Linked DNA regions of Tamandua tetradactyla. Each later gene encodes a partner of the first gene's protein in a complex. Links are inferred from orthologs where the notes say so. Each region holds a gene or a part of one and is shown in the gene's direction. Other genes may lie near its edges.

Region 1 (7,016 bases):
CCATACCCCTTACCCCTCCCTCTCATTGACCACTAGTATTTCCATCTACCCAATATATTTTAACCTCTGTTCCCCCATTATTTGTTTATTTTTTATTCATATTTTTTACTCATCTGTCCATATCCTAGATAAAGGGAACATCAGACACAGGTTCTCACAATCACACAGTCACAGTGTAAATGTTCTATCTTTATACAATCATCTTCAAGAAACAAGGCTACTGGAGAACAGCTCTACAGTTTCAGGTACTTCCCTTTAGCCCCTCAAATACACCATAACCTGAAAAGGGATATCTATATAATGCATAAGAATAACCTCCAAGATAACCTCTCAACTCTGTTTGAAATCTCTCAGGCAGGGTGGGCAATGGTGGCTCAGTGGCAGAGTTCTCACCTGACATGCCAGAGACCCAGGTTCGATTCCCGATGCCTGCCCATGTAAAAAAAAAAAAAAAAAGAAACCTCTCAGCCACTGACAATTTATGTTGTCTCATTTTTCTCTTCACCCTTTCAGTTGAGAAATTTTTCTCAATCCCTTGATGCTGAGTCCCAGCTCATTCTAGGATTTCTGTCCCACGTTGCCAGGGAGGTTTACACCCCTGGTAGTTATGTCCCATGTAGAGAGGGGGAGGGCAGTGAGTTCACTTGCCATGTTGGCTGAGAGAGAGAGGCCGCACTTGAGCAACAAAAGAGGTTCTCTGGGGATGACTCTTAGGCCCAATTTTAAGTAGGCTTAGCCTATCCTTTGTGGGGATAAGTTTCATAGGAATAAACCCCAAGATTGAGGGCTCGGTCTATTGCTTTGGTTGTCCCCACTACTTGCAAGAAGTTATACATGCAAAATATGTCATAAACACTCTGATGGTTAGGTTCATGTGTCAACTTGGCCAGGTGATGGTGCCTAGTTTTCTGGTCAAGCAAGGACTGGCCTATCTGTTGCTGTGAGGACATTTCATGGACTTAATTCATCAGCATGTTGATTGCATCTATGGCTGATAGCAACAGGTGGCTAAGGTGTGTCTTCCAGAAGGACATTTAATTTAATCAGTTGAAGGCTTTAAAGGAGAAGTCAGAACAGAGAATCTCACTTTCCACTTCAGCCAGCCAGCCTCCCGTGGGGAATTCATTGAAGATCTTCATTGGACTTGCCAGCTCGAGGCTTGCCCTACAGAACTTGGACTCATGCAGTCCCACAGTTGCCTGAGACACTTTTATAAAATCTCATATTTATAGATTTCTCCTCTTGGTTCTGCTTCCCTAGAGAACCCTGACTACTACAAGAACTCACAGAGGATATATTATTGTGTATCATTTTGAATCTACTTAGATTGCAACATCCCCAAAGATAGCAGAGACTGTCTTCTCTGGTAGTCTTCAATCTCGGAAATCAAAGAGCAAAAAAATTAAATATGTGCAGTATGGAGAATAAACTGAAGGCAGACACAACAAAGAGAGGCTGATGAAATAACAATAATAGCTAATGCTTGCTGAGTGCTTACTATGTACCAGGCAGAGTTCTAAGTGTTTTATTTACATTAACTCATTTAATCCTCCAAAACTCAATGAGGTTAGGAGCTGGAATGGGACAAGGGAGCGTCTGGAATTTTTGCAATCTTCTTTTTCTTGATTTGGATGCTGATTGCAGAGGTGTATATACTTTGTAAAAATTTATTGAGGTGTACATTTTGATCCCTGTACTTATTTTTTTACTTTCAATAAAAATCACACACACAAAAACTTCTAAGGGATTTTTTCCCTATTTTATAGTCAAGACACAGAAAGGTTTAAGTAATTTTCCCAGGGTCAGGTAGTAAGTGGTGGAGCCAGGATTAGAAATCATGCAGATTGGCTATCATGTTTACCACAACATAACAGGGTAATAACCTAGGTAAGAAGTGATGAAGGCCTAAAGTGGAGGCGGGAAAATCCACTCATCAATAAACACATGGAATGATGGGGCCAAATTCAAGACACTTCAGAATTTGGTGGTGAAGTGGATTTGGGAGGTAAGAGTGGGATAGCAAAAGCTGTAAGTGAGGTTTGTAGTTGCATATCTGGATAGTTTCATGTGTGATGCCATAACCTGAGATGGGGTAAAGGGAGAGAAAGATTTGGGTAGGGGGAAATACATTCATTTTGAGATATGTAGAGATGCCTAGAGGACATCTTGGTGATGTCCTATGAACAGCTGGGAATGCATGCCTGGGGCTCAGTAGGAACCATCAGCTTATGGCTGATAATTGAAGGGCTAGAGGAATGAGTTCAAGCCAGCAGAGCATGCAGAATAAAAGCTGAAGGTGAAACACTGGTATATATGTCCACCTTCATTCATTAAGTATGTAATGCCCCCTTGTGGGTAAGGCCTAAATGTGTACACACCCAAGAAGATAAACAGACGAGGAAGAATCATCACTTGGCAGAGGAGACATTAAAGACATAAATAAAACAAAAAGGGGGGAAATGCCATTAAAAAGACATTTAGAGGTAGAATCCAGGATAACTCCCTGAGGTGACATTTTATTTGGTGAATTGTTCCTTAAAGGATAGGTAGGATCTTTACAGGCCCTGATCAGTAAGTCAGAAATGAAAGACAAAGACCAGGAACCATCAGTGGTGTTTGGAGATAAACTTGTAACGTAATTTGGCACTAGGTTTGGGAAGAGGAGATGAGGTGAGAGAAGAGGATGGAGGCCATAGAGCCAAAGCCCTTGAAGGCCTTACTGAGGATTGGTTTGGAATTCCTTTGGAAGCCATACTAGAAAAGGAATTTTTTCTTTTATCTAACTCCACACCTAATCTTTTATCAGATTATTTTTGGTGTGTATTTATTTATTTAAAATATTTTTATTGACATCTTCACACACATACAGTTCATACATGGCATAAAATCAGTGGCTCACAATATCTTCATACAGTTGTGTATTCATCACCATGATCATTTTTTAGACATTTGCATCACTCCAGAAAAAGAAATAAAAAGAAAAAACCCATACATCCCATCCCCCTTACCCCTCCCTCTCACTGACCACTACTAATTCCATCTACCCAATTTATTTTACCCCTTACCCCCCCATTATTTATTTATTTTTAATAATATTTTTTTACTCATCTGTTCATACCCGGACAAAAGCATCAGGCACAAGGCTTTCATAATCGCACAGTCACATCGTAAAAGTTATGCGTTTTACAATCCTCTTCAAGAATCAAGACTACTGGAACACAGCTCTACAGTTTCAGGTACTTACCTCCTGCAACTCCAATACACCATAAACTAAAAAGGGATATCTATATAATGCATAAGAATAACCTCCAGGGTAACCTCCCGACTTATCATACATTTCACAACTAAGTCTGGCCTTACATGGCTTTTGGTTGTTAGTAAAGCTTACATCCACTCTTCAAGGGTTCAGATTTTCCACCACGAAACGACACTGAAAATAATTCTCTACAGCCTACACCGGGGTTACCTACCTCCTCTAAAGGGGCTGATATTTTCAGGGATGGCAAATGAGATTTCTGAGCCTGCAAGACGACGGGAGAGCTTGATTTCTTCAATGTACTGTCATAAGTTTACTAGGCGAAGCATCCCGAGAGGTCCTCACCAGGGAATCCTCCGCTCCCACAGCCAGAAGCAAAACGAGTCCCGCCTGCCCAGAAAAAGAACGGTGGAATTTTCAGCAGTGGAAACGAATGGAGAGCTCACCTTGGTCAATACTTTCCTTTACACTGGATCAAACTGAGTACATTACATTCAAAGCCCAAGGAAGGTTGGAGTCAAAATCGGGACTCCAACCCAGACCTCTGCTTCTGGGCTTACGGATCCTTTCTGCCTTCCTTACCGAAAGACATGGACGAGCCCCGGTTCTCCCTTGAGACCGCCAACGAGACACTCTGGGGAGGAAGGATTAGCCGAGGCGCTGGCGGGTCAGGGGCCAGGAACCCCCTTCTGCCTGGATCCTAAAACAGAGCCTCGCCGTAAACAGGCTTACCCGGAGACAGATTGGCGGAGGGCGGGGATTGGGCGCCGCCGCGGCCGGACTTCCGGAAGTTAAGGATTTGTTTCGGAGGAGGCGATCTTTCCAGACGCACCGAAGACCCTACCGTGAGTCCTCCCTGCGTCGGCGCAGGCGGGAGGGTAGGTCTGAGGGTGCGGGAGCAGGGGAGCCCGATACAACTTGGAGCAGCTCTGTTTTTCAGAGGAGGCCGCTTGTTGGCTCCCTCATCCAGTGTTGGGGTACCTGCCGCCGCCAGGCCCCCGAAGCGCACCCGAAAGCGCTCCTACCTTTCATTAGCTTACGTTCTAGGGAGAAGAAATAAAACAAAGTGCGAAATTCTTTAAAGTTGGGGTGTGGGCTAAGAAGGGGCTCGTGTAATTAAGAACCCAGTTCCGGACTCTGGGCACTATGGGGAAAGGACTCAAAGCGAGTTTGAAGGCAGGGAGGAGTGAGTCTAGCAAGAGGCGAGGGAAGACCGAGAGTCCGGAGAAAGCGTGGTGGCTTGAAGCTGAGAAGGCCCGTGCGGCTGTAGCGTCAGGGTCGTGGCCAGGGGAGAGGTTTGCTTGGAAGCAAAGTGGCGGGTCGGGTCTATGTTATAGAGTGTGGAGCACCGTGACGTAAACTTGGGAATTTGACACGGGAGTAGCAGAACGACAAGATTTGAATTCGCTTTGAAAGCGTACTTTGACTGCCGGACGCAGGTTGGATTATAAGAAGAGACCATTCTTGGGAAGGTACTGCTTGCAGATGAGAGAAGGAAACCAAGAGTGGGTGACAGTGGACGGATTAAAATTGATACATAAGAGCTAAAATTGGCAGAACTTTATGGAGTAGATATGGGACTTATTGACAACGAGGTGGCCAACGATGATTCTGTTTCTGGTCTAAATTACTGAATTACGGTAAATAAGGTCAGACTATTTTGCGATTTCCGAAGGGTTCTTTTTCCCCCTGGTGTAAAAACAAAAACCACAGAACGTTTTTAACCCTCTGATTCCATGTACTCATTATATTTTATATGTTCACTGTAGAAAATTCGGAACATAAATGGTTTCTTCTATATAGAGGAGAGTAAATGCCACCTATAATTCCAGTACCCAACATGGCCATCTTTTGGTGTGTTTCCTTCGTGTGTTTTTTTTTTTCCTGCGTGTATCTTTTCGTTTTGTATGGTGGAGACCACATTGATTGTATGTTTCAATACCCAGGTTGTTTTTTGCTTTTTATTGTAAAATACACATAACATAAAAAACATTGTAACCGTTTTTAAGAGCACAATTCTGTGACATTAAGTACATTGGCAATATTGTGTTAACACCAATATTTCCAGAATATTTTCATCATTCTAAACAGAAACTCATAGCTTTTAAGCAATAACTCTCCCTTTCCCTCTTACCTCACCCTGGTAATCACTATTCTGTCTCAGAATGTGCTTCTTCTAAGTATGTCAAATAAGAGAAATTTAATTTTTGTCCTCTGGTGTCTGGCGTATTTCAGTTGACATAATGTCTTCAAAATTCGTCCATGTTGTACCATGTATCACACATTTCTTTTTATAGTTGAATAATATTCCATTATATGGATAGACACCATTTTGTTTATCCATTCTTCTGTTAGTGAACTCTTAGGTTATTTCTACCTATTGGCATCCTGCTATGATATTGGTGTTCTTTTATCTGTTTCAGTGCCTGTTTTCAATTCTTTTGGATAGACCTAGAAGTAGAATTGCTGGGTTATATGATAATTCTATGTTTAACTTTCTGGGGAACTTCCAAACTGTTTTCCACAGCAGCTGGACCATTTTACAATCCTATCAAGAACAGGAAACAGGGAGGGCCACGATGGCTCAGCAGGCAAGGGCGCTTGCCTGCCATGCCAGAGGACCCGGGTTCGATTCCCGGTGCCTGCCCATGTTAAAAAAAAAAAAAATTGGCTGTGAAAGAACGGGAAACAATCCTGCTACAGCAACACGTTATTTTTTAAATAAGAGCCATCCTTGTTGGTGTGAAGTAGAATCTCATTGTAGTTTTGATGTACATTTCCTTAATAGTTAATGATGTTGAGTATCTTTTCATATTCTTATTAGGCATTTGTATATATTTGGAGAAATGTCTATTCAAATTCTTTGCCCAATTTTTTCTTAACTGAGCTGTTTGCCTTTTTATTGTTGAGTTGTAAGAGTTCTTTATATATTTTGGATATTAAACCCTTATAAAGCAATGAAAAGTATCAGTCATCAGAGACCCCTGACTTTCCTCTGCTTAAGGTGTAGCTAGAGACCTGTGGCTTGCAACAAAAAAACAAATGGGATGCTGGCCATCATACTGCATTTAGAAGAATCCCTAACTGCCCAGTATTAAAGTTAATGTACTGATATTAGTCCTGTTGGGCATAATAAGCTTCACATTCTGTTTTCATTAGAAACAAGCCAGAGGAGCTTTTTTATTCTAAACAGGGCTTCTTAAGATTGTGAAATGCAGATTATGATCAGCAGGTCTGATTGGAGCCCTGGCAATGCTGGTCTGGAACACACACTGAGTTTCAAGGGACTGAACTGGACTAACTGACAGAACAAAAGCAAGATGAACTTTCCTCCCCCTCAGAAGTTACTTTTCCAGTTCAATATCTCAGCCACTCATCTGAAAACTGGAGGAGCTGAACGAAGGAGATGGATGGGGAGGTGGGAAGAGAATGTTCCAGGCAAAGAGAACAGCATGTGCAAAGGCCTTAGGAGAAGGAGAACATAGGTTATTAAAGCAACCAGAAGAAGCCTGGGTAATGGATGCCAGGAGATTCATTCTACTCTTCTACTTTTGTATATGCTAGGCTTTTTCTGTAATAAAGATGATATCAAAGAAAAACGGGAGGAACATAAGCACCAAACCATGAATGCCCTCACACAGCGTACCCCTCACTTGTCTGTGTGCCTGTCTCCCCCACCATCCCCAAGGCTTTTTAGGGTAAGAGTGTGCCTTATTCATCAGTAAGGTGTCAGTACCAAAAAATGCATTTAATAAGTGTG
Region 2 (7,514 bases), on another chromosome or scaffold:
CCTACAGAATCAGCATTGTATTGGAAAATCTGGGAGGTACTGTTAAAATTACTAAGAATTACCAATTTAACATAATTAGACTTGTGCTAAGCCCTCTTTTAAGTATCCTGGAGGAAAGACTGGCCATTAGTTGATATTTGCATTGAGTCTTGTAAGTTATATTTGAGTGATTTAGTTTAACCTGAGAAATGATGGTTTTTGAATTCTTATTCTTGTTTTAGCAAAGCTGATGAATTCAAACCTTAACAGAATAAGCAGTGAATATTGATATGAGATTTCCTCCTGAGTTTTATTGTTGTGTTCACTGAATTAGTTGACAAAGGGGGACAAAACCTGTTGGTCAAGTGTGTGCATGTTACCTTCTATCAAGTTTCTGCTGATCACAATTGCCTAACAGGAAGTTTGTCTTTGTAGGCAAATGAGGCAGACCAGGAAGACCTGGTAATCCAGTAGGATATCTCTAGCCTATAGTGTATTATTGTTCTTTAACAAAACTCAAAGATTGCAGAGTTCTGTGATGTCAGCAGGAAGTTTTTTAGGAAATTCCCTTTCAGGGTTAGTCAACAATGAAAACCTTAACAGAATGGAAAACTGTGAAGTAGTAACAGTGGACACTAACATGAAAAATTGAAAGAAAAGTTTTATTGTGAGATGTGCAAATGTAAGTGTAATGAATGTAGAGAACCATTTTCTAATAGCCTCCGATGCAGTTGAAAAAGAAAAATCAAGTGAGGGCTGTACTCTTAAGAAAAAGGAACTTGAGTATTTATTTATTTAGGGTTAAATTGAGATCATTTAACTGTCTTGGGAACCAGTAATAAAATATCTTTTGTTCTGTGAAATGACACTCCTAGTCGGATATCTATTAATTTTTGTGTGTCTCTAGCTTAAGGCCTACCACATATTAGCTATTCCATAAGTGTTTATTTGAAGTGAAGGTTGAAAATTAGAGCCACTAGTACAGGAAAAGGGCCTAAGGATTTAAGAGGTCCAGATGTGGGTCCATTAGTTAAGTTGTTGCATTTTATTATAACTTGTTTTGCATTTTGGCTGTAAGAGAAAGTTAGCCATTGAAAAGTAGAATATTGCTTTAGCAGTTAAGTAGTAGACACAGCTCACTTGCTACTTTTGGCAAAATTGGGTTTACTCTTAGGCGCCAGAGTAATAGCACTTAATGGGAAAATCTTGAGCACTCATTATTTGCTTGAGATTTTACTTACATGATTGCTGAAGTTGCGGGTGTTTAAATATTACCATCTAGTTGTTGTGGTAAGGTCAATCATCATAGGCTGGTATTTTAGTCACTTCAGTTGCTTTACCTACAACATGAAAAACCAGAGAGCATCTTTAGTCATTGCCTATGTATTACCAAATTTTGGAATTTAAAAATTACCCAGTTGGTTTCAGTTGTATTTTAGATTGTCATGGACACAATCTTTGTTGTTAAATACAAAGAGTACTTAAGTATCATTGCAGTGTGTTTCATTGTAACGTTAGTATTGTAGACCTTAGAATTGCATGGCTCTTTGTTAGTGAAGTACTTTAAGCCAGATGTACAAAGTTAGCTCTTTAAGAATGGCTGAACTTTTCAGTTGTGTTGTAGTTCAGCCAGGTTGAAATAGGTACTTCAGTAGGTATTTTTGTAGTTCTCCATTCCAATGTTGATTAACCTGGGACCTTTCAGAGAAAAGCTTGGTTTTTTTTTTTCTGACCCAGGAATCATGCGTGCCTTTTCTGACTTGATTCTTGAGTTTGGAGGTAGTAGTGATCTGTGAAAAGGGCTTTTTGGGCTCCTCTACCACCTCGTAGATGTGGGACTTTGAGCAAGCTATTTTTTGCCTTCTATTTTCTTTTGAGAATTAATAGGAGTAGTGGATGTAAAGGGCCTGGTTAATTAGTATTTTAGTAGTCTTCAGTAAAGGTAGACATTATTATAATTATTGCCGGGCATTTTGGCCGTAGTGTGTAATAGAGGAAGTAGCAAATTAATGTGTAAATAAGTTCACAGTCTTTTTATATAAAATTTTCCAATTTATATGTCTGTTGAATGCTTTTTTTCCTTTTCCTTACTGTTTAGAATTTTACGAATTATAAAATTTGGCATGGCAGAAAATGTGGATTTATTGTGGACTGTGTTTATGTATTTAAAGGTGTCTCCTAGTAAAATTAGTGTTTTTTATTATTTTCCCTGGTTTACCTAGTGACTGGCTATTGTAGGGGATTGGCCTTTATTGAATCTGAAGTTCTCTCGAGTATTATATCAGGTGTTTCAAGATGTCCTATATTTCATCTCAGGGGAGAGGATTTGGATAGTATGTAGAAGTGAAGTTTTGTATGTAGCAAACTAAAAGATTTCATTAAGTATTTCTTGTTAGGTGTTTATTTAAATAGCATAAATATCTCTTTTGGTAGACTTTTGAGTACTCCCATATTAATTTTGGCTGACAAACTATTTTTGAAATAGTGGAGGAGTTTTCTTAGGAAATGGAAAAGGAAGTTCATTGTAGGTAAATGGTCTGGGACAGTTTATATGGATGGTAGGGTAAGTTTTTAGCTTCTCTCATTTGGAAATTGCATGTTATTTATTATGAGTAAATGTTAATATTAGGGATGTTTCATTCTTTGCTGTGCAGGTTTTCCTGTCCTCTCAACATAGAGGTGAGGAATATGAACACAGAACTTTTATGCCAAGTGGTTGACTCAGGGATTGTAACTTCTTTTCTGTGCCTCAGATCCACCATTCCTCAGACCCTTCCATTTCTTGGTGGCTGTCCTTTGCCGCTGGTGCCATGGTGGGTGTATGGATTGCTTTCTGTCTTTCAACAGTTGCCGAAGTGCATGTTTGGGATTTTGTTGAAGAAAGCTGGATACAGTAAACGGAAAGAATCTTGGAAGATGCTTGACTGCTGTCTTTTCTCAGACTAGTCTGAAAGGGAATACACCCATTCATTCTGGATTGGTGGATCTGAAGTACAAAATATTTTCCAGGTAAGCATTTACCCTGTACCGTAATGCTTGTGGAACTTAGCTCACTGAGAAGAAACTTAAAAGTTCTTTTCTTTTCCGTTAATAGGGAAAGGAAAAAATCTTAGATATTTGTGCCTAGTGTTCATGTTTGGGTGTGGAGTTGTGAAGGTGTACGTGGCAGATTTGCTGGTACACACTTTGTTTCAGTGTAGGAGTAAAGTTATTTTTTATAGTAGGCTCAAATGGTTTATAGACATAGTCTAATAGGGGATACAGTAAAATGGATATTTTATTTGGGAAATATCTTATAAAATATGGAAAACATCTTGTAATTTTGAGGCACTATCGCACATTATTTATAGTTGATATCTGGCCAAAATTTATAGTTGCTATCTGATCAAGACTACTAGCATATAGAGTAGTAGGCTTTTATTCTTAGGACTCTTAGAGGGTCTTTTCAGAAAGATTTACTGATGGTATGTCGCACCCATTTATTGAACATCTGCTATGTGCTAGACACTGTTGTAGGCCCTTTACATGTATTTCATATTTAATTGGCAAAATGCTTTACCTGCATTTTAGAGATGAGTGAAATGAATCTCATAAGCGTTAAGTTGCCCAGGGCCGTACATTTGAGTAAAGTTTTAAGCTTGGGTCTGTGTTTTCCTAATGCTCCATACTTTCCATTTTACTACCTATGCTGAAGTTTGTATTTGATCTTCTGGATTTTCAAATTGCCAATCTGCAAGAGCAATATGCAGTTACCTAAAATAGTTTCCACTTGAAGAACACATGCTAGGCCATTGTTTGGCATGGGGTTGACATGGTATAATGTCTGGTGCTCTGCTTAAAATGAAAAATCAGAAGATCTTCAGTCAGTTCATCAAGTGAACATGGAGGTAACTTTGGGAGCACAGGGGAGGTAATGCGTTTGGGTGTCAGTACATGGGAAGTATAATTTGGTGTAGTGAACTTGAACTTGTGTCTTTCAGTTCCTCCTTTGTATTTATTGGTTATTTTAATAGCATAGTAGCTCATTTTGTAGACTTCTTTTGACTTGTGGTTTGCTAGCCTTACTGGTAAGACTTCCTGGCAACTCTTCCTTGAAAACATGACTTTTCCTTGCTATTTAATAATCTTTCCATTTCACCCCCTTCCTTTAATCTTAATTATTTTTTACTTCTTAAATTTTATATCATAGACTAACATTCTGACTTTGTATCCTTGCTTTAACTTAATTCCTTAATATTTGCTAATATTTCTCCTAGTTGAGCATTTTTCATCTGGAGTACTGTCAAAGTGGTGGTAGTGGCAATAGTAGTAGTAGTAGTAGTAGTAGTAGTAAACGATTAAACACCTAATACTTATTGGGCACTTAATCTACCGAATACTATTCTAGGCATTTTATAGGTATAAACTGATTTTATCCTTATAGTAACATGGTGTGATAGGTACTGTTTTTTTCCCACTTTATAGATGAGGAAACTGAAAGATAGATTAGTGAAATAATATGCTTCACGGTCACATATCTAGTAACGGACAATGACGAAATATGAACCAGGCAATCTGGATTCACAGAATGTACTTCTACCCTCTGTGCTATACTGCCTCTAGTTTAGAGTATCATCCAGTAATAGAGGGGCAGAAATTCTGAAGACTTACTATATATTTGGATTTCAAGAAATCAAGGGAAAGGGAATAATTGTTGAATATTTATTTCTTACTTTATTTAGAAAACAAATAGTCTACTTCTCAGGGAGCCATCCAGGGCTATCTATCAGATTGTTTCCCAAGAGGACTCACAGGACTTGTTTAAGGTTATCTTCCAAAACAGTGCTGTCCAATAGAGCTTTCTGTGATGATAGAAATGTGCAGAATTTGCTCTGTTCAATTTGGTAGCCACTAGCCATAGTTACCTACTTTGAAATGTGGCTCCAGGACTGAGGAGTTGAATTTTTAATTTTACTTAATTTAAATAGTCACATGTGATTAGTGGCTAACATATTATAGAGTGCAGTTTTAGAATGTACCATTATCCAAGGTCTGGCCTTGGTTTAGCCCCTTTTGAAATCTGATTTGGTCACTATGGTAAAAGCAGCTCCTTATCTCCCAGGGTTGGACTCACAGTAACTATGCTTACAAGGCTTATATGTAAAACCATAGTGCCAGTTTGTTAATTTGCAGTGATTTATGCCCTGTTGGTATGATTAGTATATTGTTAGCTGATAGGCATATTTGCTTACTAGGTCCTAATTTAAATGCCAGTTTATTAGTATTATTTTTAAAATAAGAAATAGGAGTCAGAGGGGCCTGAATAGTAAAGCCAAATGAATGGACACTTTCTTCGTGTAGGTAGACTTTACCCATCGGGTCAGATTATAAACAGGTGGCTTGGTTAGCATGGACTCAACCAGAAAAGTGAGATATGTGATGGACTGAGACTGAGATCCAAATGGGTGGTTTTTCCCTATGGCAAGACCTCTTCCTTCAGCTTCTCTGCTTGCTTTTGTTTTCCAAATCCCTTTTAGATTAAGGCATTCTTTTTTAAGATGCTTCAGTACAGTGAGCTAGAATGCAGTCTTGACTTGAAGGTCTGGGTGTTCTTTTGATTTCCTCAAGGTGCCTTTATCAGTCCTGTGATCTATTATGTTTTTATTTTCAACTTTAAGAAGGCAGTAGTATTTTTCTTGCTTCCTTGTAGCCTTTTTCTACTGAAAACACATGCATTAGAATCTTTAATTTGGTCACACATATTATCTGCATTTTATCATGTTATTAAAAGGAACTTGTTTTTAGTTTACATTACTTTGGGACTTGTTCTTGCTCCTGTTCTCTCCCCCCCATTTATTTATTTATTTATTTATGTTTTAAATGTTTTTTTGTTGTATTGTATAACATATACAAAGCAAAGAAATAAAAGAGCAATAGTTTTCAAAGCACTCTTTAAAACGTGATTACAGGATAGATCCCAGAGTTTGTCATGGGCTACCATACGGTCCTCTCATATTTTTCCTTCTAGCTGCTGCGGAATATAGGAGGCTAGAGGGTTTAAATACTTTTTTTTTTGTCATCACAATTGACTTTTTTTCCTTCTTTTTTTGTGACCAATAACATATATGCAAAAAAGCTATAAATTTCAAAGCACAGCACCCCAATTAGCTGTAGAATATATTTCAGACTTTGACATGGGTTACAATTTCACAATTTTAGGTTTTTACTTCTAGTTGCTCTAAAATACTGGAGATAAAAGAGATATCAATTTGATGATTCAACATTCATATTCATTTAAGTCCTATCTTCTATGTATAATTCCACCATCACCTTTGATCTTTCCATACCTCTCATTGTGGTTGTTTGGGTTATGGCAATTCTAAATTTTTGATATTGATAGGGTCTGCCACGAATATGGGGTAGGAAGATGAAACTATCTGATGTTCTGGAGAGGCTGGGCTAGGTTTCAGGACTTACCTGGACTAGGGACCCATCTGGAGGTTATAGGTTTCTGTCAGGTTTCTCTAGTGCCTGGAACCCTTGAGGAATCTTATATATTGCCCTAGGTGTTCTTTAGGATTGGCAGGTTATGATAGATAATAAGGTCTACCGGAAGCTTGTGTAAGAGCAACCTCCCAGAGTAGCCTCTCGACTATTTGAGAGAGGCTGTATTTGAACTCTCTCTGCCACTGATACTTTATTAATTACACTTCATTTCCCCCATTTGGTCAGGATGGAATTGTTGATCCCACAGTGCCAGGTCTGGATTCATCCCTGGGAGTCCTCTCCCATGTCACCAGGGAGACTTTCACCCCTGGATGTCATGTCCCATGTAGGGGGGAGGGCAGTGATTTCACTTGCAGAGTTGGGCTTTGCTCCTGTTCTTGATATAGAAAGAGTGACATAAGCAAATCCGTAGTTTAGGAAGGTAGCTTTGGTGGATGTGTACAGTATGAATTGAAGTGATGGAAGGCAGAAAGACCAGTTAGTTCAAGCGAGCAGTGATGAAGATGCACCAAGATATTGACAGTAGGGATGCTGGGAGGGGATGTGTGTGGGGGTGGGTTTAAAAGAGATATAGGTGGTAGTATTTATGAGTTTAGGGATTGGTTAGAGGAGTGGGAGAGGGAAGAATCTAAGAATTTTAGGTTTTGGCTATGGACACTTGGATGGATGTTTGTTCTCTTTTCCCAGTCTTAGTTTCCTAGCTGCTAAAAACAAATATCGTATAATGGTTTGATTTAAATAATGGGAATTTATTGCCTCAGGGTTTTAAGGCTAGGAGAAGTCCAGAATCTAGTTATCAAGAAGGTGATGCTTTCTTTGAACCTATACTCTGGCTTCCTATTAATGTTTTCTTTTTAACCATTTACTTATTTATTTATTTTTACATGGGCAGGCACTGGGAATCAAACCCAGGTCCTCGGGCTTAGCAGGCAAGCATTCTTACCTGCTGAGCCACCGTGGCCCACCCGAAGGTGATGCTTTCTTGCTAAGGACTATGGTGTTCTGGAGCTGGCTACTGACGACGATCCTTGGGTCCTTGCCTTTCCCAT
Region 3 (7,248 bases), on another chromosome or scaffold:
TGTCTCTGTGTGGTCCTACCAAAACTGTCCATTCAGACCCCTTTGTTTGCCTTTGCAAACGTCCGAAATTGTCAAGTCTCAGCTTCCAAAAGTCCTAGTTCCATTTACAGGACATATATGTGATGACTCTTTAATGGAAATTTTGATAATAAGGTCTAGATTGTATGTAGGTATGAAGGGAATTTTTAAAATACAACAAAAATTAAGCTACAAACAGCATTAGAACTTTGTCTATTTTTAAATTTTAAAATATGCTGATATGCCTTAAACTAGCTATAGATCATTGTCATTTTGCTGTTTGAAAATAGCCGATATGTTTTCTAAAACTTGTGTAATCTACTTTCAATGTTAATGCAGAATTATCATATATGTAAGCTGCATGTTAGACCACTTGTTTTTTTTAAGAAAACTAAAATAATTGTATTGATGTGAGGCATATCACTTTTTCAAGTATGAAAGTAATCACTCAGCAACCATGCTTGGCAATTTGGTGTCTGTTAAGATAGGAGAGTAATGGACAGGTAATCTATGCATATATCAACAGTGCCAAGACATCAAGAGGGGGGAATATATTTTTACCCAAACATTAAAACAAAAAAACAAGAGTCCCTGGGGGTCAATATATCCTAAAGTAATTCTGGCAGAGAATAAAAAGAAAATTTTGCAAACTCCTCTTGGGGGACTGGGGAGAAAGGAGAAAATATTATACTTTCCCATCTGGGGAATTCCTGATATTCTCACAAGCAGTGGGGACAACCAATTCAACAGGCTGAGCCCTCAATCTTGGGGCTTGGCCCTATGAAGCATATTCCTGCAAAGGACAAGCTAAGCCTACTGAGAATTATGCTGAAAAATCATCCCAAGAGAGCCTCTATTGTTGCTCTGATGTGGCCTCTCTCTCTCTAAGTCAACTTGGCAGATGAACCCACTATCCTGCCCTCTACGTGACTCCCAGGGGTGTAAATCTCCCTGGCAAAGTGGGACAGAGCTCCCAGGATGAGCTGGGACCTGGCTTCATGGGACTGAGAAAGCCTTGTTGACCAAAACAGGGAAGAGAGAACTGAGACAAAGTTTCCACGGCTAAGCAATTTCAAACAGAGTTGAGAGGTTATCCTGGAGGTTATTCTTATGAGTTATATAGACATCCCTTTTTAGTTTATGGTGCATTGGAGTAGCTAGAGGGAAGTACCTGAAAGTGTTGAATTGTGTTCCGGTAGTCTTGATTTTTTTTTCCAATTTATTTACATATTGATGTAATGGTATACAGCAGAGTTGAATAGTTGTGATAGAGAATACACAGCCCACGAAGCCTAAATTATTTACTATCTAGACTTTACAGAAAAAAATTGCTGACCCATTATAGAGTTCTCTTCATAACCCTATATGAGGATTTCACTATGACATATTTACAGAAGCTGAATTGCTGACTTATAAGGTGAGAGAATTTGCAACTTTTCCCCTATGTAGCCCAATTGGCCTCCAGTTGATTATTCCAATTGACACTACCACAAGCAATGTATGAGAATTATTGTCGATTTACTCACTAACACTTGATATTATCATACTCTTAAATTTTTGCCAATCTGCTTGGTGTGAAATGGCATCTTTTTTGAAATATTTTTATTGAGAAATTTTCACACGCATACATTCCATATATGGTGTACAATCAATGGCTCACAATATCATCACATAGTTTTGTACTCATCACCATAATCATTTTTTAGAACATTTGCATCACTCTAGAAAAAGAAAAATAAAGTCATCATACCATACCCCTTACCCCTCCTTCTCATTGACCACTAGTATCTCCAACTACCCAATTTATTGTACCCTTTGTACCCTCTATTATTTATTTTTATCCATATTTTTTTTTACTCATCTGCCCATACCCTGGATAAAAGGAGCATCACACACAAGGTTTTTGCAATCACAGAGTCCCATTGTAAAAGTTATATCTTTATACAGTCATCTTCAAGAATCAAGGCTACTGGAATACAGCTCAAGTTTCAAGTACTTCCCTCCAGCCACTCCAATACACCACAAACTAAGAAAGGGTTATCTATATAATGCATAAGAATAGCCGCCAGGATAACCTCTTGGCTCTGTTTGAAATCTCTCAGCATCTGAAGCACTTCCCAAAATATAAATTTTGCACTAAATAAACATCTCTCCCTTTAGTCTCACACAGAAGTTGAAGTTTTAACATATGGCTGATATCATCCTTTACCCTGTATTCTGAGTTACCTTAGTCCTAACAAGATCAGCTCAAAGTCTGGTCACTTTTTCAACTTTTTAAACAGTTCTTGCGTGGGGTACTGCAAGTAGCCTTGATTCCTGAAGACGATTGTATAACCATATAGCCTTTACCATGTGACCATGTGATTGTGAAAAACTTGTATTTGATGCTCCTTTTATCTAGGGTATGGACAGATGAGTTAAAAAAAGGATAATAAATAATAGGGGGGGATAGAGGGTAAAAAATGGGTGGATTGAAATACTGGAGATCAGTGAGAGGGAGGGGTAAGAGGTATGGAATGTATGAATTCTTTTTTTTTTTCCTTCTTTATTTCTTTTTCTGGAGTGGCGTAAATGTTCTAAAAATGATCATGGTGAAGAATACACAACTATGTGATGATATTGTGAGCCACTGATTGTATAATATAATTGGACTGTACGTGTGGATATTTCTCAATAAAAATATTTTTTAAATAAAAATTAAATTACATTTTTAAAAAAGAGTGCCTGGGGGGATTGTATTAGATTAGTGAGCACGAAGGCTGCTCAGAGGTGACACTGAAGCTGATATCCTAAGGACAAGGAGCCAGCCATGGGACAGTTTGGAGACAATTTTCCAAACAGAAGTGTAAGGGCAAGGGGCAGTGTGTTCATTTGCAAGCTGCCAGAATGCAATATGCCAGAACTGGAATGACTTTTAAAAAGGGGAATTTAATGCGTTGCAAGTTTAAGAAAGTGAAAGTATCCAAATTCAGGCAACAACAAGAGGTTACCCTCACTCAAGAAAGGCCAATGAGTCAGGAACAGCTCTGTCAGCTGGGAAGTCACATGGCTGGCATCTGCTGGTCCCTTGCTCCTGAGCTCCTGTTGCTTTCAGCCTCTGTTCCTGTGGGGTTTCCTCACTTTGCTTCTCTGGGGCTGGCTTTCATCTCTTGGCTTCCCTTGGCTCTCTCCAGGTTCTGGCTTGCTTCACATCTCATGGTGATGTCTGCTGGACTCCAAGCATCTCCTAACATCTATATGTCTGCCCACCACGTTTCTGCATCTGTGTCACCTCTGCTGGCAAATTTCTGTTGGCTCTGAGGCTTCCATCTTTCTTGCTCTCTCTCTCTCCAAAATGTTTCCTCTTTTAAAGGATTCCAGTAAACTAATCTAGACAGAACTGGAACAGATGGAGTCACATTTCCCTCTATTCAAAAGTCATCCCCAGAACTGGATGTGTCCCATCTCTGTGGAGATAATCTAATCCAATATTACCAACTACAGTTTTGAATCAGGATTAAAAGAAACTGCTGCTCCCACAAGACTGAATCAGGAATAAAATATGGCTTTTCTGGGGTACATAATATTTTCAATCCGGCACGGGCAGGAACAGGTCAACCTCCGTCAGGGTCAGAGCAAGGGCCCAGGAGGCTGCGGAGACTTTAGGAGTAGGCAAGTAGGGAAAGAGGCTGGAGAAGGAGCTGGGAGTCACATCACCTTGGACTTTTATAAGCCCCATCAAAGGGTTTGGATTTGATTCCTAGGGCAATGGGAAATCGTTTTAGGGTTTTAAGCAGGGATATGACAGGATGTGATTCACATTAAAAAGTAAAACCTCATTCTACTGTGCGGAGAATAGGAGGTAGGACCAACAAGGGAAGAGATGGCGACTGGCACTGGCATCTCTCAGTGGGGAGGAGACGAGTGGGCTGATTGCAGATCTATTTTTTAGAGAGATCCAACGGGATATGCCAATACAGCTTGGCTGCAGGTCCTTCGTTTTGATCGCAAGGAGGAAAACAGAAAACTACCACTTACAATCACCATTGGAAAGTTCTTGTCAGTCTAAGTATTCTGTCACTCTGTCATAGAAGCTAACTGTAAAAAAAATTGGGAGGCCAAAAATCACGAAAAGCAAACTAAAATCACCCATAAATCCCATCAGGCTGCGAAAATGGCTGTTCACACTTTGCTGTAGTTTTCCAGGTTTCTACGCGGATATATGGTCATTTGCTACACTGGGATTATATTGATGCTTGCTCTGCCTTCCGCTTTTGACTTCGGGGTATCAGCCAGATGCCCGCGACCACCACTTCAGCTCAGGCCCCTGGGCAGGCCTCACGTCCCCGCGGCCCTCTCGACCACCCATCTCGTCGGTTCGCTGGCCCCCTTTAAGGCCCCCTGTGGTGTCCCCACATACTTCGGCGACGGGGACGGGATGCACGACGTCAACCTCTGGGGGGGACCCACCGGACAGCCCCCCACACATCGCGCCATCCGCGCCACGCAAAGCCCCGCAGGGCAGCCGCACCCGGGCTGAGAGCGCGGCCCGACCCCGGCCCGGCGCCGGGCAGGAGCCTGTCTGCGCAGGCGCCCAGAGATGATGTCACGGGGCAGGGGGCGGGGCCTGGCGCTGGAGCCGCAGCATGAGGCGCAGGGGGAGGGGGAGAGGGAGGGGGAGGCGGCGGCGGCGGCGGGCGACCATGCAGGCGGAAGACGCAGGCGCAAGTGGCCCCGGGGGCCGCGAGGGCGCGGGCTCCTCGGGGGGCCGCCCGGTCGGTGACGCGTCTCGGGTCGCGCGGACACCGCACGCCCCAGGGCCGGGTGGAGACGCCACGCCCGCGGTCACCGGGCCGGGAAGCCCAGTACACCGATTGTATCCTAGCCGACGGGGCGGGCCTGGGATGGGGATGGGGCGTGAGCGGCAGGGACGGCACGGGGTCCTGGGGGGTGGGTGACGGGGGGAAGGACAGGGGGGCGGGAGGCGGGGAGAAGGGAAGGAGAGCAGGGGTTTAACGCGGGAGGCGACGGAAAGGGGAGCCTGGGGTAGGGGGGGAGGACGGCGAAACGGGGGGGAGGGATCGAAAAGGGGAGCCGCTTGGGTCGGTGGACGCCGGGGGAGTTGGGGCCCCAGGGGAGGAGGGGAAGGCCTGAGGCGGGTGGGGGCGGGAGAAGCAGGCTCAATCGGGGTGAACTAATGGGGTGACCGGGCCGGGCGCCAGTTCTGGCCTTGAGCGGCAGGAGGCGAGGCGCAGGCTAAGTCAGTGGAGGATGGTGCCTTAACCGGATCCCCTGCCAGCTCCCTCAGTGTCCCTTTCCCGTCCCGCAGGGAGGCGGAGATCGCCTGCGGCTCCCTGGCCCCGGATGCCGAACCCCACCGGGAGGCGATTGAGAAGCAGCTCACTGTGGCTGGCAGCGCCCTGGCCGTGTCAGTTCTAGAAGGGGCGCGGGTGGGAGCTGCTCCTTAGGGCCAGTCCCTGCCTTGGGGTGCTGTAATGGGGTCAGAGAGATCCCCTCAGGGGAAGTCTGAGGAAGGGGGCGTGGCGCAGTGGGCCTGTCCCCACCTGAGGGGGTGCTCTGATGGAGCCACTAAATGGTCAGGTGGCAGGGGGTCTGAGGGTGCCGGGTGGAAGGTGAAGTTGCCACCTTGAACTGGACTTGCCTTTTCCATCCCTCACAGCCAGTGGACTGCCGGTGACCCCCGCCTCCTCCGAATTTCCATCCTGAACTTTCTGGACCAGCTTTCCCTGGTGGTGCGGACAATGCAGCGCTTCGGGCCCCCCGTTTCACGCTAGGCCTGGGGCCTGACCTGGTGTCCCCTCCTGGGCAGTATGCCCTTCCCCCCGGGGCCTTGATTCCTAGAGTAGTTGCCACTTTACCATAAGGGCCTGATTTGGGGGGCATACTGGCCCTAGGATGCTGGGGTCCCACTTGGTTTATTTGGTGCTTAAATGTTTTCACCAACAGAAAATAAAAACAAGCTACTCTTTCCTGTCACAACAGTATTTTTTTTCAGCTGCTGAACCTGCAGATTTTCATGCCTTTGGTCTGGGATTGCAACGAGGGAAGGGTCTGCGATGCAGATATTCAAGTATAATTTTTGGCCAAGTCTAGTGTTAAATTTATTTTCCTGATTTTTTTTTTTTCATTTAACGTGAACTTTTCTGCTTCCTAAAAATCCTGCGAAAACCTGTTCTGTGTATCAAAGAAGTATTTTAATGAAATTGTTGCCCACTTAAATCATTTCCAATTTTCCCTATGATATGTAACGATTCAGTAGGATGCTTATATATGAGTTTTTGCATGAATAGTTATTTCCTTACGATAGATTAAAAAAAAAAAAAACCCAGGAGGTAGAATTACTGAGTTAAATATTTTCTATTTATGGTACAAAATTGTTGTCAAGAAATTGTGCCCTTCTGGTTTCTCCACATCCTTTGTCACCAGAAGTCTGCTTAATGCCAAAATAAAATACTTAGTTCGTATGAGAAGAGCAAACAGCCCAGAAACACTAAATTAGGATTTTTTTGTGGCTTACTGGCCTTGCTTCAGATCAGTGAAGAAAAGTGTTAGGACAATTCCTTAAGGGTTGGGGGAAGGAGCTCAGATCCCTCTAAAATACCTGCATTCTACAACCTTGCTAAATACACTTAATAATTTTAGTGGCTCTTTTGTAGATTTCATAGGATTTTCTACATAAGCAATCACATTTTCCTTCAATAAAGGCATTTTTACTCCCTTTCCAATCCAGATGTCTTTTGTTGATTGATGTCTTTCCTCATTGAGGCTTGGCGTTTCCTGCTTCTTTGCATGCCTAGTAATTTTGGATTGGATGCCAAACATCATGTATTTTACCTTGGGTGCTGGATATTTTTGCATTTCTAAACGTATTCCATGAACTTTTTTCTGGGATGCCAAGGTGCTTGGAAAAAGTTTTAACCTTTCCATTCCTGCTTGTAGATTTGCTCGGTGGTACGAGAGCTGCTTTTAGGGAAAGTGATGGTGAAAATGATGATGAATCTCACCTGAGTGTGGCAGGTGTAGTTGCTACAGTGAGGATATGATTCTCTCCTTCTCTCTCTCCACCTCTTCCTTTTTTAATTCATCATTTTTAGATATTAGCCATTGATGGACAGATGCCGATTAAGCTTTTTGACTCCACCATCTGCTCTGCTTCCTCTCAATGTGGTTGTGGTTCTATTACATTCTATCCATTTCTTAGGATTTCTTTTTTCCCTAAGATTAAAAACT
Region 4 (7,638 bases), on another chromosome or scaffold:
CACTGCAGGAAAGTGTAAGTGATTAGAAAGTGGCATTATTTAGCTGGTAATAGGATAATGTGTGAAATAAAAACTGTGGAGTCATCACAAGTATCTGTTCCTGTTTGTCTCCCTTTAGGTCTTCTATTGGGCGGAGATATCCACGAAAGAGATGTATCTGCTGCTTCTTGCTTGGCTTACTCTTGGCAGTCACTGCCACTGGCCTTGCTGTGAGTAATCATGACCCAGCCTCTTTCATTCTTCCTGGTTATCTCTTCCTCAGCCTCTTCTCCTAAGATTTGAGAAATGGCACCCCAAAAAAAGGTTCAAGAAACTGAGGAGTTTTTGTTTGTTTTTTTTCTAACACATATAGGAGCTGAAGTTGAAGGCAACTGATATAGTCTTCACTGTTACTATAGAAGTAAAAAAGTTAAAAGAAAAGCAAAAACATTCTCTCTCTGCAGAGGACAGAAAAATGAAGAAGTGACTTGAATTAAGAGTTGCTATTAGGAAATCTGGCTCAATCGTGAGACATTAAGAAAAACTGATAGATGTCTGTTTGAGATGGTATATGAGTATGTTCCTGCTTAGAAGGGGCTGAGCAGCCTAACCTTTAAAAAGGTCCCCAAGGTATTGAGAAAAACCCTAGAATGAGCTGAGACTCAGCATCAAGGGATTGAGAAAACATTCTCGACCAAAAGGGGGGGAAGAGTGAAATGAGACAAAGTATCAATGGCTAAAAGATTTCACACAGATTCAAGAGGTTATCCTTAAGTAGATATCACCTTGTTATTCAAGATGTAATGGAGAGGCTGGAGGGAACTGCCTGAAAATGTAGAGCTGTGTTCCAGTAGCCATGTGTCTTGATGATTGTATAACGATATAGCTTTCACAATGTGACTGTGTGATTGTGAAAACCTTGTGTCTGATGCTCCTTTTATCTATCTTGTCAACAGACCAGAAGAACATATGGAATAAAAATAAATAATAGGGGGGAAAAGAAAAGGTCCCCAAGGGTGGTTGGTTATGTGTGGATAGGAAATGAGATATGAAGTTTGAGTTTTTGTGTCACTGTTTTTAGGGCTCTTCAGGAAGTAGTGGGAACTCAGTACTAACCTCATCTTTTTTCTTATCTTCATCAGTTTGGCACGTGGAAGCATGCACAACGATATGGAGGTATCTATGCAGGCTGGGCCTTTGTCATCCTGCTGGCTGTGCTGTGTTTGGGCCGGGCTCTCTATTGGGCCTGCATGAAGGTCAGCCACCCTGTCCAGAACTTCTCCTGAGCCCCATGATGACCCACAGACTGTCTGGCCCCTCCCTGGTGGGGACAGTGACACTACAAAGGGAGCTGGGGGTAAAAGGCTCCCTGGGCTTCCATTAAGTGGAGCCAAGCAGCTGCCTTCCTTTTCCCAGGGGAGAGGTAGGAAGGAACCAGGCCCTCACTTAGGTTTGGAGGGATAGATTAGACCGCTGCTGGCCATCTGCTCTCCAAGGGTTGCTGTGTTTAGGGTGAAGTAGGTGAAATGTTGCCCCTAAACCTGGAATATGACGGTTCTAGCCTTATCCTTCCTATGTGCTCCCTGAGAGCCATTCCTGTCCCTTACACATTCCAGGGCAGGGTGGGGGTGGGTAGCGCTGGGGGTTTCCCTCCCTCTTGTGCACCATTAGGACCTTGCTGCTGCTATTGCACTTCACCAGGGGCTGGCTCTGGCCTCAGTACGCTCAGTCTCCTCTCCCCACATTCCATGTCCTGTGGGGGTATGGTCAGCCGCTGCTCTGTACTGAACCACGGGAACTGAGGTGTATATAACTATTTAATGTGGGGTATGGTCCCCTAGTCCTGTATTTCCCTTAATTCATCCTTCCAACCTTCTTTACCCTCCAGTTGTAGTATCTAACTGGGCTGGGTAGGATTGCTCTGTCTTGGGGGAGGTTAAGGACTCATCCTGTGCTTGTAAATAAATAAGGTCATGACTCCACTCCTCTCCAGTTGTTAACTTGCATGTATGAAAAGACAGGGAGAAGGAGAAGTTGTAGCCTTACAAAGGGGTAGAACACAAACACAGCAAGGCTGAAACAATGGCTGTTTATTTTTACTTTGGCTATTTAGTTTTACATGGACAGGTCAAATGGACAGGTCAAAGGGTATATCAGTAACTTGCTTAATGTTAAAAGAACACACACAAAACTAAAACCTTGGGCTTACTCAATCTTGCACTATGAGCCTGGATAGAAGATTCAGATTATTTTAGAAAGGAAGGGAATACAGTGCAGATTTCTCTAGCGAGAAATATTTTTAAAGAAATGCTAGTTTGGAGGACTCGTTTTCCAGGCTGAGTGATTTTAGGAGGAAGTGTCACAGTGCTAGGAATAGCGTGATAGGACAGTGATCACTGCCCAGGGCCTTGGAACGGATCTTGCTGTCACACAATGCAGGTAACAGTGAGTGGGACAACAAAAAGTAATCAAGGCGCCAGCCAACGTTCTTGGATCGAGCATTCATCATGTAGGTCCAAAAAGTGTAAGCATAGGCAGTGTTTGGGTAGAGGTGCCGGAAGCTGTCAGCCAATGGCACAGCCTGCAGCAAATCCCCAAAGCCTTGGCGCTCTTGTGGGGTGAAGCCAGCATTCTTTTTGTTTCCCTTGGGGTTGCGAAGGTCAATCTCTTCATGAGCCACATTGAGGTCCCCACACAGCACGAGAGGCTTGCGGGAGGCTAAGTCCTTTAGGAATTTGCGAAAGGCTTCATCCCAGCGCTGCCGGTATTCCAGCCGCACCAGACCCCGCCCCGCATTGGGTACATAAGCTGTTACCAGCACAAATGCATCAAATTCAGCCACGATCACACGACCTTCCTGATCATGTTCTTCCTCACCTACAGAAATGATGAAACAATTAGAATAAAGTATAAGTAAAGGAAAAGTAGAGAATGAAAGGAATCAAGAGTTAGGGCAGGAGAGAGGTATTAGCAATGGCTTAAAAGCACTCAGATACTAGTGTCTCACCTATGCCATAAGAAACTTTGAGTGGGCACTGGCGGGAAAGTAGACCCACACCACTGTAGCCTTCCTTGTCTGAAGGTGCTGACCAGTACTGATGGGATAATCCAGGCAAGTCCTGAAGTTCAGTGGGTAGTTTGTTCTCTGAACATTTGGTCTCTTGGAGGCACAGGATATCTGGGGCTTCTTCTTTTACCCACTGTGAACCAAAAAAAGGCAGAAAAAGTTTATCGATACAGCAGCCATTTTTGAAAATCTGCATGCTAAGTACTTAGAATTCACAGGTGAGACAGTTCCTTTGTATAGAGTTTGAATAGTTCAGCAGTACAATATTTAAACAACTACAAAATGTTAAATATTATAACAACAGACAACTAAGAAGAGAGAAAATAAGAGAAGGCCTTAGATGTTACACCAAAGACCATGTTTTTTTCTATAGGTTGTACATAGCCAGCTAAGATTTTTAAGACTTAGTTATAGGTATGGAGAATATGCTGGAGACAAAATGGAAGAAGTCTAGTGAAGAGGCTTTTATAAAATTCTGGGGGAGAGATGACATGAAACAAGACAATTGCTGTGGAAATGAGGGAATTTCCACACTGAGGAAACACAAGTGGCAAGACTCTAAAGCCCCCATTATACAACCCCACAATCAAATACAAACAAGGGAAAAATAAAACCTTCACTAAAATGAAAGGTGATTAGATCCCACATCATTTAATACATGAGAATGCTTGTTTCCCTCCCTGAATTCCACTCACATCTAAACCTTTCTTCTTAATCCAGGCTCGAAGCCCATCCACATTCCAAGAGCAGATCTTGATTGTGGCAGGTTTGCCACTAGGTGAGGTTTTCCGATCTGGGGGATCCTCATACAGGGCTGGCCCCTCTCCTGCTGCCTCTTTTTCGCTTTTCTTTGCCCCCGTCTTACTCTTTTTGGTCTCTGGCTCTATAAAATGAGTTATACATAGGGATAAAAGTTGGTGGTTTTCACTTTGATCAGGCCCTCAGAGAGCTTGCAGCTATCGCGATTTCAAATTCACTGGTAAAATATAATGACTTGGTCCGTACTTCCTCTTCATCGAGGACAGCCTACCGCAGCCCCCCGGAGTTGTGTTCTCTTACCCATCTTCGGCACTTCTCCATCTTCTGCCACCGATTCCTTTTTACCACGCTTCGGCATCTCTAAAACGAAAGCCCTTCGGCAAATTACCCACCGAAGCAAGATTTCTACCGCGTTGCCTACAGACACAAAGAAATCGTGTAACCAGCTAAGGATGGTGAAGAAGAGAATTCTCCCGCCGGCGTCCCCGCATCAGACTCCACCTTTCCTAACAACAGTATCTCTGAATCCTTTCCCCGCCTCTCTGCATCACAGGCCCTTCTCCCAGCTCCTCACCTACGGACTAGATAGTTTAATAATACTTAGGCACCTCCTCGCAAGATATGCCCTCCGGTCAATGAAGGACCTTAATTATGAGCCTTGACTCAGACTGGCTGGTCAGACCTCCAGCGAAGACCTTAAAAGCAAAAGAGCGCCCGGGTATCTGACCTGCTCGGGTCACAGCCAGGCTCCTCCTTACCCGAGCACAAAGAATGGAGAACGCTGTGCCCCCACGTGGGTAACTGGCATAGTCACGTTGTCTGAGATTTGCATCACGTGGCCGAGGGATGCGGCTGATTGGCCTGCCTCGCAGCACGTGACGGTGAAGCGCGGCCCGCCCGCCCTTCTCTCCAGAGGACTGAAGGTCCCAACCCTCCATTTTCGGGCTGTTTATTGCTTTGCCAGGTGCACGACTCACTCTGATGCCCTGGCCGAAGATTACAGCGTCGTACAAGAGAAAACGATAAGTGGAGAAGGCTAGGCTGAAAAAAGAGGTGGGGGAATGGATAGGAATGTGCTGAGCAAATTCCGGCTCAGTATTCCTGGCAGTTCGGAGGACAGGGCCTTGGGGGGGCCTTGACGGGTTTCCGTGACGACGGGGTCGAAGGCTGCTTCGGCGGTCCAGTTGGGATTTCTCTGGGCTGTGTTGCGGTGCACAGTGTTTTTAACAGCCGCGCGCGCGTTCTTTTCGTCTCCACTCCGGAATTTGCGGGCCAGCAGGGACGGTTGAGGGGCTCCATAAGTCGCCGGGAACACTGCCAGCATTTCCTCTCAGGCTCAGCCATGCCGGTGGTGCTGGGTTTTGAAGGCAGCGCGAACAAGATTGGCGTGGGAGTGGTGCGGGATGGCACGGTGCTAGCGAACCCGCGACGGACTTACGTCACGCCTCCGGGCACAGGTGAGTGAGTAGGGGGCTTAGAGTTTACCGCGAACTTGCCGCACTACATCGCCTTCCATCTTCACAAACGCCAGTCAGGTGGGGCGCGTTGTCCTTTTCCTACAGCTTTTGATCTGAGGCTCATTGGGATTATGTGACAGTCTTAAAATACCAGGATGGTGGGTGAAAAAGAGACACAGGCACTCGGACCTGGATCTTCTGACTTTGTCAGCGTTTATTGAGCGCTTTTTATGTGCTCAGCATTAGCTGGCTCCTGGATAGATGTCATAATTCTGATTAGTCTGACGTAAAACTGAATGTTTACATTACAGCATTATAAATGGTAAAATACAGACGCAATAAAATTCTAGAATTGGAGAGGAGATGAGTGGAAAGACTTCCAACTTAAGTGTCAGACAGAACTGACTGGCTTTATGATACTTATGTTCAGTGTTCATGTTCTTGGAATTCTATTCCTTCCTCTTATGGGAATAATACCTGTATCTTTGGGTCTTGAGAATTAAATGAATGAAAGTGCCTGATACATTTTAACTTTTCATAAATATTCTTTGCAAACTATTCTCAGATCTCACTTACCATCCCCCAGTTCACCTTCACATATGTTTGTAGCTGAAAAGCTTTGCTGAAAGATGGTGCAACAGATTACTCGTTAGAAATTTATTTATTTATGTCTAGGACTCATTGTTGGAGGCACTTGGGCACTGGAAATACAAAGTTGATAAAATAGCTGAATATTTGAGATACTTAGGGTTATTTGGGGGAAACTGCAAATAAGGATGATGCTCTAATTGGTGTGTTAAAATACAGTGTGTTAAATGCAGTTGTGTAATCATGTATAGGGTTCTGTAGCATCACAGAGGGACATCACCAAACTTTATGGGGTAGGTAAATTTGCAGTGAGTCCTGAAAGCTGAGGAGGAGTTCTCTGAAGAAAGGCATTTCCAGGAGCTGAGCAGCCTACATAAAGGCTGGAATCTGTGAAAGAGTATGTCTGAAATCCTAGAAGATGGATGGTTAAGGAATATGAAAGGGACACTTTCTATTAATTCCTACATGAATACAACTTCTTTTTTGTAGTTCTGCCTACCTTTGCTACAGTAAAAACACCCTATGATCTCTGACCTAGTTTTCATCTCTTAGGATTCCTCCCAGGTGATACTGCCAGACATCACCGAGCCGTTGTCTTGGACCTGCTGCAGGAGGCATTAACGGAAGCCAGATTAACCTCCCAGGATATTGACTGTGTTGCCTACACTAAGGGTATGAATGAGAGAGTAGCTAACCATGGAAGACCATACATGGAGCCTGGCTAGATAAAACAGCCTGTACCTCGCTTCTACTGTCACCACCCCTACCCTACCTCTTACATCCCATATTCCCACCACCCCTATTTATCCCAATCTCTATAGGATTTTAACACCCATTTCTACTTCCCTAGGTCCAGGCATGGGTGCCCCCCTGGCTTCTGTGGCAGTTGTTGCCCGTACTGTGGCCCAGCTGTGGAATAAGCCATTGCTGGGTGTGAACCACTGTATAGGCCACATTGAGATGGGCCGCCTCATCACTGGAGCCACCAGCCCAACTGTACTCTATGTCAGTGGAGGAAATACCCAGGTGTTTAGAGCATTCTATCCATTCTTATTTCTAAGGTACCATACCAACAACTTCCAAGTTCTACCTAAGTAGTGAGAACTGCAAGAACAAAGCTCAGGTCATCTGAATCTAAGATGTTGTATACCAAAAAACCCATGGTAGAGTTTATGACGTTGCAGATTTGGTCAGGACAATCAGAACACTAGATAACTTTTCAATATGTAAATATTAATAATCTCCAGTGAGTAAAAGGAAGGAGGTAAGGAATGATGCCTTCAAAATAATGAAAGGAATTTTGTAAATTTGAACTTTATTCTTTTTATAAATTTTAGCAATTAAAACAAAGGGGTAAAAAAAAACAAAGGGGCACAACTCTTTTTATAGGTTAATTGAATGTTTTGCTTTGTATTATTGGTAAATACATAAAATTTGTTATTCTAAGAGTGTGGAAATATTAATAACTTTTGAAAGCATTTTACTGTCTGTTCTCTGATATATTATGTGAAATAACTAGAATGTGCAAATTCGTAGAGACAGAAGAATGATGATGGGGCCCCAAGGGTGGGTTTGGGATTGGGGAGTTAATACTGAATGGATATAGAGTTTCTGTTTGGGGTGATGGAAGAATTTTTTTTTTTTTTTTTTTTTAAGGGAAACATTTTTTTTTTAAACATTTTCTTGTTTTATTATATTTTGTTTGTTTGTTTGTTTTTTACATGGGCTGGGGCCGGGAATCGAACCGGGGTCCTCCGGCACGGCAGGCAAGCACTCTTGCCCGCTGAG

Evidence for each region.
Region 2: TPRKB (region 1) and GON7 share a complex: the UniProt entries of both Homo sapiens proteins name them as parts of the EKC/KEOPS complex. The link is inferred for Tamandua tetradactyla from reciprocal best matches to the Homo sapiens genes TPRKB and GON7.
Region 3: TPRKB (region 1) and LAGE3 share a complex: the UniProt entries of both Homo sapiens proteins name them as parts of the EKC/KEOPS complex. The link is inferred for Tamandua tetradactyla from reciprocal best matches to the Homo sapiens genes TPRKB and LAGE3.
Region 4: TPRKB (region 1) and OSGEP share a complex: the UniProt entries of both Homo sapiens proteins name them as parts of the EKC/KEOPS complex. The link is inferred for Tamandua tetradactyla from reciprocal best matches to the Homo sapiens genes TPRKB and OSGEP.

The regions. Positions count from the first base shown.
Region 1 is NC_135343.1:47,395,032-47,402,047, reverse strand, and holds the start of TPRKB (EKC/KEOPS complex subunit TPRKB), read left to right. Parts: upstream 1-4,011; 5' UTR 4,012-4,101; exon of another isoform or gene 4,102-4,134; intron 4,135-7,016. UniProt on the Homo sapiens protein: Component of the EKC/KEOPS complex that is required for the formation of a threonylcarbamoyl group on adenosine at position 37 (t(6)A37) in tRNAs that read codons beginning with adenine.
Region 2 is NC_135346.1:53,342,501-53,350,014, reverse strand, and holds the start of GON7 (EKC/KEOPS complex subunit GON7), read left to right. Parts: upstream 1-4,509; coding exon 4,510-4,528; intron 4,529-7,514. UniProt on the Homo sapiens protein: Component of the EKC/KEOPS complex that is required for the formation of a threonylcarbamoyl group on adenosine at position 37 (t(6)A37) in tRNAs that read codons beginning with adenine.
Region 3 is NC_135353.1:6,783,743-6,790,990, reverse strand, and holds LAGE3 (EKC/KEOPS complex subunit LAGE3), read left to right. Parts: upstream 1-4,700; coding exon 4,701-4,873; intron 4,874-5,296; coding exon 5,297-5,425; intron 5,426-5,677; coding exon 5,678-5,792; 3' UTR 5,793-6,743; downstream 6,744-7,248. UniProt on the Homo sapiens protein: Component of the EKC/KEOPS complex that is required for the formation of a threonylcarbamoyl group on adenosine at position 37 (t(6)A37) in tRNAs that read codons beginning with adenine.
Region 4 is NC_135340.1:36,231,852-36,239,489, forward strand, and holds the start of OSGEP (tRNA N6-adenosine threonylcarbamoyltransferase), read left to right. Parts: upstream 1-4,616; 5' UTR 4,617-4,858; exon of another isoform or gene 4,859-5,139; 5' UTR 5,140-5,147; coding exon 5,148-5,262; intron 5,263-6,402; coding exon 6,403-6,522; intron 6,523-6,700; coding exon 6,701-6,876; intron 6,877-7,638. Other genes in the region: PIP4P1 (type 1 phosphatidylinositol 4,5-bisphosphate 4-phosphatase), read left to right, coding at 1-14, 119-209, 1,122-1,265; DNA repair nuclease/redox regulator APEX1, read right to left, coding at 2,339-2,856, 2,987-3,179, 3,742-3,929, 4,106-4,163. UniProt on the Homo sapiens protein: Component of the EKC/KEOPS complex that is required for the formation of a threonylcarbamoyl group on adenosine at position 37 (t(6)A37) in tRNAs that read codons beginning with adenine.